Schizosaccharomyces pombe: one gene and its partners. The gene in region 1 interacts genetically with each later gene. Each region holds a gene or a part of one and is shown in the gene's direction. Other genes may lie near its edges.

What was found.
Region 2: of alp13 (region 1) and pfd4, changing one enhances a phenotype caused by changing the other (phenotypic enhancement), as found in Schizosaccharomyces pombe (2 studies listed by BioGRID, with this or other methods).
Region 3: of alp13 (region 1) and pfd3, changing one enhances a phenotype caused by changing the other (phenotypic enhancement), as found in Schizosaccharomyces pombe (2 studies listed by BioGRID, with this or other methods).

What each region holds. Positions count from the first base shown.
Region 1 is NC_003424.3:1,586,424-1,590,187, reverse strand, and holds alp13 (Clr6 histone deacetylase complex, chromodomain subunit Alp13/Eaf3), read left to right. Parts: upstream 1-1,610; 5' UTR 1,611-1,636; coding exon 1,637-2,565; intron 2,566-2,614; coding exon 2,615-2,699; 3' UTR 2,700-2,860; downstream 2,861-3,764. Other genes in the region: thi4 (bifunctional thiamine-phosphate dipyrophosphorylase/hydroxyethylthiazole kinase), read right to left, coding at 1-88; centromere localized protein Cnl2, read right to left, coding at 596-725, 797-1,233; SPOM_SPAC23H4.13C (uncharacterized protein), read right to left, coding at 2,861-3,244, 3,325-3,495; SPOM_SPAC23H4.21 (uncharacterized protein), read left to right, coding at 3,715-3,764.
Region 2 is NC_003424.3:503,827-506,937, forward strand, and holds pfd4 (prefoldin subunit 4), read left to right. Parts: upstream 1-2,082; 5' UTR 2,083-2,157; coding exon 2,158-2,529; downstream 2,530-3,111. Other genes in the region: yea6 (NAD+ transporter), read right to left, coding at 1-267; atg10 (autophagy C terminal domain family protein), read left to right, coding at 1,227-1,766; yip5 (Rab GTPase-binding protein), read left to right, coding at 2,717-3,111.
Region 3 is NC_003424.3:600,271-603,316, reverse strand, and holds pfd3 (prefoldin subunit Pfd3), read left to right. Parts: upstream 1-1,798; 5' UTR 1,799-1,831; coding exon 1,832-1,842; exon of another isoform or gene 1,843-1,891; coding exon 1,892-1,990; intron 1,991-2,034; coding exon 2,035-2,434; 3' UTR 2,435-2,491; downstream 2,492-3,046. Other genes in the region: SPOM_SPAC3H8.08C (transcription factor), read left to right, coding at 1-1,257.

The sequences.
Region 1 (3,764 bases):
CTTCCACCTGACGTTCTATAGTAGAACCTGGGGCAATTAAACTAGAGCTAGTTACAAGGTATAAAGAATAGTCAATTTGACGTTTCATGTTTGGTATAAAAGTTCTTATATAGAAGTCAAGTAAGTAAACAAAATCCTAGAAATGCCAGATTATGTTGCGGACACCAAAAATTTGACAGTTCAATCTTTCTATGCTAAGAAAAATGAAAATTGAATATTATCCTAATTTAATCAAGAATTTGGCGAAAGTGTTACAAACTATGTTTGCAAATTTTGCTCCATCTTTTATACTGTGTTAGTCATGGTTCGGATGCGTGCTACGACAAGTTAGTGATAACTGATTTTAATCACTCTATTAAAATGTAGTTTGTCAAATGGAACAAATACTGCATGCTTTTGAAGAAAATATATTCGCATTACTTTGAACAGGTTTTAATGAAATGAGTTTATAAAGGAACAGATATATCTTATTAAAAAGGTGCAGAATAACGTTATATTTAATTATTAAAAAGAAAAAAAAATTCATTCATTGTAATAAATACCCGTTAAAGCTATATTATTGAATAAATATGGAACAGCTTAACGTTTGAAGGTCCTAGTCTAATTCTTCTATTGCAGAAGGTGCTGCCTTTTCTAAACTTTCAATTAAAGATTCTACAAGATGAATTGACTCGTCAACGTTTGGCTCTTTTGACCATTGAAAATCGCTAAGGGATGCAATCTGACTAGAAAGAAATTATTAGCAAGCTAAATAAAGCTCAATTAAAACAACCCAAATTCCTAATCAACCTCATACCTATTCATTTTAAGAGTCAATTGTGTGCAGCGCTCTTTTTCCTCATTTAATTTTGTATAAGCAGATTGCACAGCTTCAGAAAGCCGCTCATTGATTTCACTTATGTCCAGCGGTTTTGCACTATGTGATGTGTAAAATTCTTCTACATCGTGCAATGTAGAGGCATGACTGACCGTTTGCAGTTTCTCAACATTTGTTGCCAACATCCTATCTATTCTGCTTTTGCCGATAACTTGACTCTCGAGATGGATGTTAGCTCTCAATTTTGCTAATCGCTTTTGTCTTTGTTGTGTACAGTATTCGTATAAACGCTCAATCAGTGGGTCTTCTCTGTATCTCTGAGGAAACAGTTGCCGCCATTGTTCTAAGCTTATAATAGACTGCAACCGCCCTTGAGAAAGAAGATAATCATTAAGTATTTGTTCCTCCATATTCATGAGCAACCTTTGAGATATTAGTAAATTGAATAAATGAAACGCAGCATTTGATGAAAACTCATGTAGAAAAGCTAATTTTTCCTAAAGTATCCTTTTGACTAAAGCATTTTTTATAATGCGTATTGGGACGTATTTGCTGAACATAATGAAAGTTTATTTTTAATTTATCATTAAAAATCCTAAAACAGTAACTTACTGATAGCACTTTCTCCAAGCATTTTGCAGATGAATGAATTTGTTGCTTAGATAGTATCCTGTTACACCCACCGTTTGTTAATGGGTCTAGATAATTTTTAAAACAAAATAGCTAACTCCTTCAAAGTAGGATAAATTTGCTAAGTGTACTGTTTTGGCACACGTCCTCTTACTTCTAACTCACCACCATACCTACAACGTTGTTGGAATGGCCGTGTCATATAAGGTGAATGAACGTGTACTATGCTTTCACGGCCCGTTACTCTATGAGGCTAAAATTGTTGATACTGAAATGAAAGGTGATGTTACCACGTACCTGATTCATTATAAAGGATGGAAAAACAGTTGGGATGAATGGGTTGAACAAGATAGGATACTACAATGGACAGAAGAAAATTTAAAGACTCAGAAAGAGTTAAAAAATGCCGCTATCTCTACGAGACAAAAACCGACTTCTAAAAAGTCCGCATCCAGCACTTCGAAACATGACTCAACTGGAGTTAAAACATCAGGAAAGAGGTCTCGAGAATCGAGCACCGTAACGGTTGATGGCGATTCACATGAATTGCCTTCACGTATAAAAACCCAAAAATCAGAGTCTCCAATTCCTCAACAAGTGAAACGCGATGGAACAACCGATGCTAAAAACGAGGAAACTACTAAGCCCGAGAATAACGAGAAAGACGATTTTGAGGAAGAGCCACCGCTTCCAAAACACAAGATTAGTGTCCCGGACGTTCTAAAGCTATGGCTTGTTGATGACTGGGAAAACATTACCAAAAATCAACAGTTAATAGCTATACCGCGGAATCCCACCGTCCGGGCTGCTATAGCGGCCTTCCGAGAATCCAAGATTTCTCATTTGAACAATGAAATAGACGTTGATGTTTTTGAACAAGCGATGGCTGGTTTGGTTATATACTTTAATAAGTGCTTGGGCAATATGCTGCTGTATCGGTTTGAACGGCAGCAATATTTAGAAATTCGGCAGCAATATCCTGATACTGAAATGTGTGATTTATATGGCGTCGAACATTTAATTCGCTTGTTTGTAAGCCTTCCTGAATTGATTGACCGGACTAATATGGATTCACAATCCATCGAGTGTTTGTTGAATTACATTGAAGAATTCTTGAAGTATGTTTACTGCTTTTAAACTCCCCTACTATACTAACCATTTATTTAGGTATCTCGTTCTACATAAAGATGAATATTTTATTAAAGAATATCAAAACGCCCCTCCAAACTATAGATCTTTGGTTGGTGTATAAAATTATGATCGTTTGCATCTATCCCAAAGATAACTAAAACGGTAATCTAAAATATATACGTTTTCTTTTTGAGATATAATACACTATTATCTATAGAATGCAGTAGGACCAACATAAGGCATTCAGAGAATTCATGCAATTATTATGTTGTTCCTTAATATTCAGATATTAATCATTTTGCTCTTCAAAGAGACAATTTGCTTCTGCAAATTGCCAATTGGAGTATCAAATTCTAAAGATCCAGAAATTTGACTTCCAAACTGATAAAGTTCTGCATTTACGACACCTTTCATTGCCTGGATGCTCAGGTCTAACGAACTTTCTGCCGGGATACACTGCTGCTCCTGTTCAGTTATATTGGCAACTCTTCTCAATTTTTCTTTAATACAACTCCATTTTTCTATTGTTTTTAAAATTTTTTTATCGTCAACCCGATGTTGTAATGTATCAGTCCGCTTATTGAATCCATCCATAAAATTGTAATAAAGCTTTATGAGTGCCCGTCTAAGGGCCAATGTGTATAACCATTGAGGACGTATGTAATACTAGAATTTGGTGAGTTGGACGTAAATAAGAACCAGTAAATATAAAAACTAACCACAACTTGCTAAGAATGTGTACTTACTTTTGTAATAACGAAAGTCGAGAGACCACTGATAGAAAAAGTATATAATATGTAAATTAAGAAGGACAATAAGCTGGACGAAACTTGTATATTATCTGGAAAAGCTTTAACAGGCGGATTTTCTTTAGGAAGCAAAGGACTTTTGCTTTGAACAGCACTGTTCGAACTCATTTTTAGAATGATCGAAAATTTTGCACTAGTGAAAATATGGATATCAAACCAGTTGAAGAAGAAAATGATAAGCGTAAAAAAGATGGTTAAGCATATAGTGTTGCGGAATAAGTAGTTTGATTGTTCGAAATTAATACGAAGCAGTAAAAAGCAACTTTGCAAAATTAACAGAACAAATGAAATGAATAAGTTTGTTATATCTAACGGATTGTTATTAAAATGTATCAAGTTTCCAATCTCGATTTAAAATGTGGCGTGCACAACGGTGA
Region 2 (3,111 bases), 1.1 Mb from region 1:
AAAATAAATGGACCAACTAGGAAGATAACCTAACATCATGGGTCCAACACCTCTATAAAGACCGGCGATGCCTTCATTGTGAAAAATTGTTCGCATCGAACTGAGGGTCCCACCCAAAACCATTGTATTTTTTCCACCACCAGTTGAATAAAAAGCCTTTTGTGCCTGCTTTCTTGTTTTTACTACATCTAAAGGTGCCACTACAAGAGAAGAGGCCAATCCAGCAGCTCCTCCTGCTATAGCATCCTTTAGAGAATCATCAACCATAAAGACGGATCAATTTCCTGATGATAATGCATGCATCTAAAGAAAACAGCAATTAAATAATAGACCTTGACAAATTCTTTACTTTTTTAGACGCTGATAAGAACGATCCAACGCCTTACGATGTTTCAAATTGGAAATGTATATATATTTTAGCGTTGATGTAAGAAGCTGTACAACAACATATATGTAAGTAAAGTGTTTGGCAGCCGTCAATAAGAAAGTCGAATCACTGTGCGGTAAACCACATTAACGACATGAATGTCTCCGAATTACTAATTGAGAGGACGTTCCATGCCCTTAAAAGAGAATTTCTTTTATATGTGCATATCAGATATGATTAAAGTCGTAATGCCCATTAACAATATATAATGGTGACATTGATGTTGCTAACAGCTTTACACACATATCTCAATTTTACTTCACAGATCAGTTGGCTTTATAAGCACCATTGGAACAGTGCTTTTGCTTTTGCTTTTGCTCGTATAAGTATTAAGAGGAAATTACTAATATAAAACCTTAGTTTTTCATTTTTTTCCAAGTCCAAACATATTGTTTTTATACATTAGCTTCTCTTGATTACCGCCAATTTCTAGTCGAAAAAATTATTTTTTTAAGAAATCCTACATTTGCTGAGAAGAAATGTTGAAAACGTAGTAACTACACAGTGTACCACTATATTGTTGGATAACTTTGTAAACTCCAACGTACTGTTTTGTCATACTCTTATTGTCAACTTTAGAAGCAAGATGTAGAATTAATATACTTGTAAATAACTGAAACACCATTTTTGTCGAGACTTAACTTCAAATATATTGACAGGTGATTGCCTCTATTGCCCTCATTGGAATAGTGCGTTGAACAATCAGACTGTAGCCAGGCTTATGGGACAATAATTCCTTCTTCAATTACTTATTGCTTTAGCAAAGATAAAGTGATTAAATTGGCTAACCGTGACAATAATGAGCTTTAAGTCTCAATTACTTATCCTTGCTCAGAAGCTGTCGAAAGGTGGTATTTCTTGTGAGTTGATTGAGTTTGATGAGTGTATTTTGAAGTTAGAATGGCATACTGAGCTACTTGATAAAAATGATTCCTTATTATACGAGCAGGAAGAAGATGATATTTTAAGCCTTATGAATCCAATGATCACTATGCACGCCTGGATTAGGGATTCTCCATCCTTCGAAGTCCCGCAGTTCTTCTTTCAACCTTATGCAAACGGATCAGATCCTCTTACCAAGATGGAACAGATTTTTGAGTTATTAGAAGGATCCAGTCAAAATTTAGCATATGACGCTCTTGCTATTGGGGACTGTCCAGGTACAGTAGGCATAGCATGGTATATCCATCCATGTCGTACGCGTGATTATTTCGAAATGCTTCAGATAGACAAAGAGGATCCCAAGTATCTCTCTCTTTGGTTGCTATATATTCATCAAGTCCTTTCTCCGCTAACTCAGCCTATAATAAAAGCAGTTGACGATGCCGAAAAATCCTAAAGATAACCTGTTATAAACGGGTATGCTTGCTAAGACTTTGTCTTATTAAATATTATTCCCCATGATTAAAACTAAATTAAAAGTCAATTTAATCCGTATTCTCTGGTTTTAGTTTATAATACCCTGTGAATCTATAGTAAAATTTTGACCTGTTATTTGACAGCAAAAACATTACGGATCTGAAGACCTCAATTGTAGAAAATAGCTTTTGTTCTTTAAATTTGTAGATAAAATACTATACTAATTAATAATCCTTCTGTTTTGACATATCATTCAACTGTTCCACTTAAACCTCTACTTGACCGCATTGATCTCTACACCAACAATTGTTTGTTAAGACAAACGAAACCGGGTTATATACTATTCCTCCTAACACACCTTAGCAACAAATATGGAACAAGTTCCTGTTCTAGCAGAAGATCAAAGGAATTTAAATGAATTTTCAGTGTTGCATTCTCGAAAGGCCATTCAAGAACTTGATATTAAGAATTTAAAAACGCAAATAGAGGATATTGTTGACGCTAAAAATGAATGTGAATTACTAGACGAGGATGATGGAGACGATATTCCAGCTTTAAAGGTTGGCGATGCCTTTTTCCAAGTTTCCCTTCCTGTACTCCTTGACCAGCTTGAGCAGTCAGAAGAAAGTTTGGAAAAGCAAGTCGACGTATTAAGATCTTCCATGGAAAAAGACGAAACCCGCATTCAAGAGTTGAAATCAATGCTGTACTCTAAATTTCACGATCAAATTAACCTAGACTAAGATTTGGAAAAAGCAGCAAATCTCAAAATTAGAAGCTTCATCTTATTTTTCTGAATTAGTTTCTTTAATTAAATAACATTTCATGCATTTAAATTTATTCACAATACCAAATCTGTATGCAATTAGCGCCTCCAATAAGTAAACTTCTTTGTTCACCCTAAGCCATTACAAGTATCCAACCACCACTATGGCACATGAGATTGAAATTGACTCGGAAGCTGACCTAGGTCGTACAACATTTGAGGCTGAAGACCTTTATAAGCAGAGAACTCCCATTACAAAGCCTCCGGCCCCTAGATTACAATCTCGTCGCGCATCCATGCAAGAGACGCCATGGACCATCAAAGATTCATTTAACGTGGAAACTAAAGATGTGGTTCAACGATGTATACATACTCTTATTCCCACTGTAAATTTCTTTGATGTTGTAGATGATCGTCCCGATTTATACGGTCCTTTTTGGATAACCACTACGGTTATACAGGCTCTATTCTTTTCCAACTCAATTACCGAATACGCTCGTTATGCCACAGGGCATGGTACAAGTGGCTATTCTATAAAAAAGTTGATCTCTGCAGCATC
Region 3 (3,046 bases), 990 kb from region 1:
GTTAATTTATTTTTTAAAACACTAAATGTTGTCTGTCCTATTTATGATCAAGAGACAGTAGAAAAAAGCTTAAACAACATTGAATCACCAGAATCTTTTTCGTACGAAGATGCCTTCACTTTATTACCAATTATTGCTGCAACTATCCAGCTGAGCGATTTGCCTGATGTTATTCTCAATTTTTATAATTCGGCGGGGATTACTCCATTGGAATCCAGCCGTCTTATAAATTTAAAACTTAACGAGATATCCGAGCAGGAATATAAACATTTATGCTTGCCTGATAAAGAAATAATTCAGATGCTGCTTTTGCGAGCGTATGCAACAAAATTTCGCACAAGAATAAGAGGAGTGAATACTGACTTATGTAGAAGCATTCACGTATCAACCTTAGTAACTCCCCTCTTCCAAGTTACGGAAAAAATAGGAAAAAATACGTCAGATTTGTGGTTTGCTCTCTGTGAAATTGATGGTTTGGAATGTGTATTAAAGTACCGTCCGCCATTCATTCAACACGACACTTATGGTCGTCTCAAGCCGCTTCGTTGTTTTTTTAATGACGATATTAGCTACAATTTTCATCTACTTCTTGGAAGGTTACTTGATTGTGGTGTTTCAATCTATAAATCTGTTCATTCACTCACCGTTAGTAAATTCATTGATAAACTGGAGAGTTATGAATCACAGCTTTCGCTTATTTTGGTAGATATAGAAGCAAAGTTTTATGACCCTTCTAATGAAGATATTCAATTTCGATACATATTTTTGAAAATGGTGTTCTGGACTGCACGTGTGAATTTGTATCAATGTTTTATTACCCTGGATTCAGGGATTTTAGAAGATGAAGAAACTATTATTGGTAATTTGGGTGAAAGTTGTATTCAGTGCGTGAGGCTACTCATATCTCAAATCACTATATTAGAAAAACGAGGCTGGCTTTTGGTAGCGTTGTTGGAGATTATCCACGCCCTCATGTTGGCTGCGTTTTGCCGTGATAAAGGCTTTGAGGTGCCTTCTGACTTAGGTGACATAACATTATATGTACAAGAAAGAATGGTTGATATCGTAACATTTGATGATGGCATGGCTGTCCGATTTGGATATGTTTTAAGATTCATCAACAGTATGTTACACCCAAATGAACCGCCTATGCAAGATGCAGAACCTGAAACCACGGAGGATCCCTCTAAATTATTCGCTGACATTTTTGATTTTACTTCAAATTACTTTATACCGTCCGCCCTTCTTGATCAGTGACCTAAACGAGCACTTTGTAATTTTTTTGTTTGTATGATTGATTAAATTTCGATTAATGTTCCAAAGTGGTTCTAATGTCAAATTTATCTGCTCTTTTAATGACTCTCGTTTTTTAATGTAACTATTTTTGGTTCAATATAGACCATTTAGGAATTAACTTTCTTACTATCCTTCTATAAAGTTGTCTTTCAAATACAATTTTTTCAACAAAACTGCCTTTTCCAAACAGAATATGTTTAACTAAAATATGTGATTTCAAGTAATTAAAAAACGTTTAAAAAGTTTAGTGATATAAAACTCTCGCTAGTACTTTCAAATGAAAATGCATTACGCTGCGCAATGGTTCTATACAGGTTATGGTTGGTAAATTGGATGAATAGATTTTGCAACAATTATCAATTACATGTGTATAACCAAAATATTCTGCCTATTTAGACTGTGTAGTTCAGACTTGGTTAGATTTGGTAATTAGGGAATAATACGCATTTCCAAATTTGTAACATTACTATACCTATTACCTTTGACACTCAGTTACCTGTTCAAAACAACCGCCCCTTTTTCTGTTGCATAGAGAATGAGTTCTTCGTATGTACTGAAGTATAATACTTTTTAAAAAAATAACTAATATGAATAGAAATCCACGGGGAATTCCACCCGCTCAATTTTTTGAGTTCAAAGAGTTATCTATGGAGGAAGCTCAAGGTCATCTCGAAAAGTTCCAAGAAGCAATTGCGTAAGGATATATATGTTATTTCATATTAATATAATGTAATTTAGAAAGTACAAATTCATGGAGACTAGTGTGGTCAGGAGAGTTGCTAGTTTGGATGACAAAATTCCTGACATTCGAAAAACGTTACAGAGTGTTCAGTTCTTGAAAGAGCGACAAGGTGACTCTTTTACTGTTACATATGAACTAAATGACACATTAAATGCAAAAGCAGAAGTAGAAGCTAAAGACAATGTCTACCTTTGGTTAGGTGCAAATGTTATGCTTGAGTATACGGTTGAAGAGGCAGAAGCATTGTTAACGCAGAAGCTGAACTCAGCGGAAGAAACATTGAAAGCATGTAAAGAAGATTTGGAATTTTTGAGAGCTCAAGTCACTACAATGGAAGTGAATACAGCTCGCGTGTATAACTATACAGTTTTGCTTAGGAAAAAAACAAAAATGTAGTTAGTCAAAGCTGCTTAATTTCTTTATAAATGTTTCCAAAATATATTATCATTTTAACACATTTGCTTATCCTTAATGTCTCTTTAGTGTGTGTAACAAATGATAGAAAAAACTATATTATTATAACAATATTCTTATTTTAGAAACGTATAACCAACATTTGTATAAAAACGCTTTACAGAATAAAAAAGGATTACATTAATGCTCCGTTCTGGATTTTCGTGCAAACAAGCAATAAACTAAATGAATAAAACAAGCCTTCTCACACACATTTCAAACCAAATTTAAAATTATGTCAAACGATTTAAATCACAACAAATAAGGAAAATGAAATTCTAAATGTGTTCCTTTCACAACAGTTGACAGTGTAAGAAGCTGGATAAAAGAGTTCTTTATTAACGGAAATGATAAAAAAACGACAAATACCTATACATCACACTGGAAGATACCCGGCCTAATCGCTGTTAAGAGTTTCGAAAAGGAAGTGGAGACCAAAAGCGGTATTAATACCAAAATAGCTTCCTTCAAAATTAGTGATACAAATTAATTTTACAAATTGTAAAGAATGACTCAATGGATGTCAGATTAACAGTTAAAAAACACAATGAACAA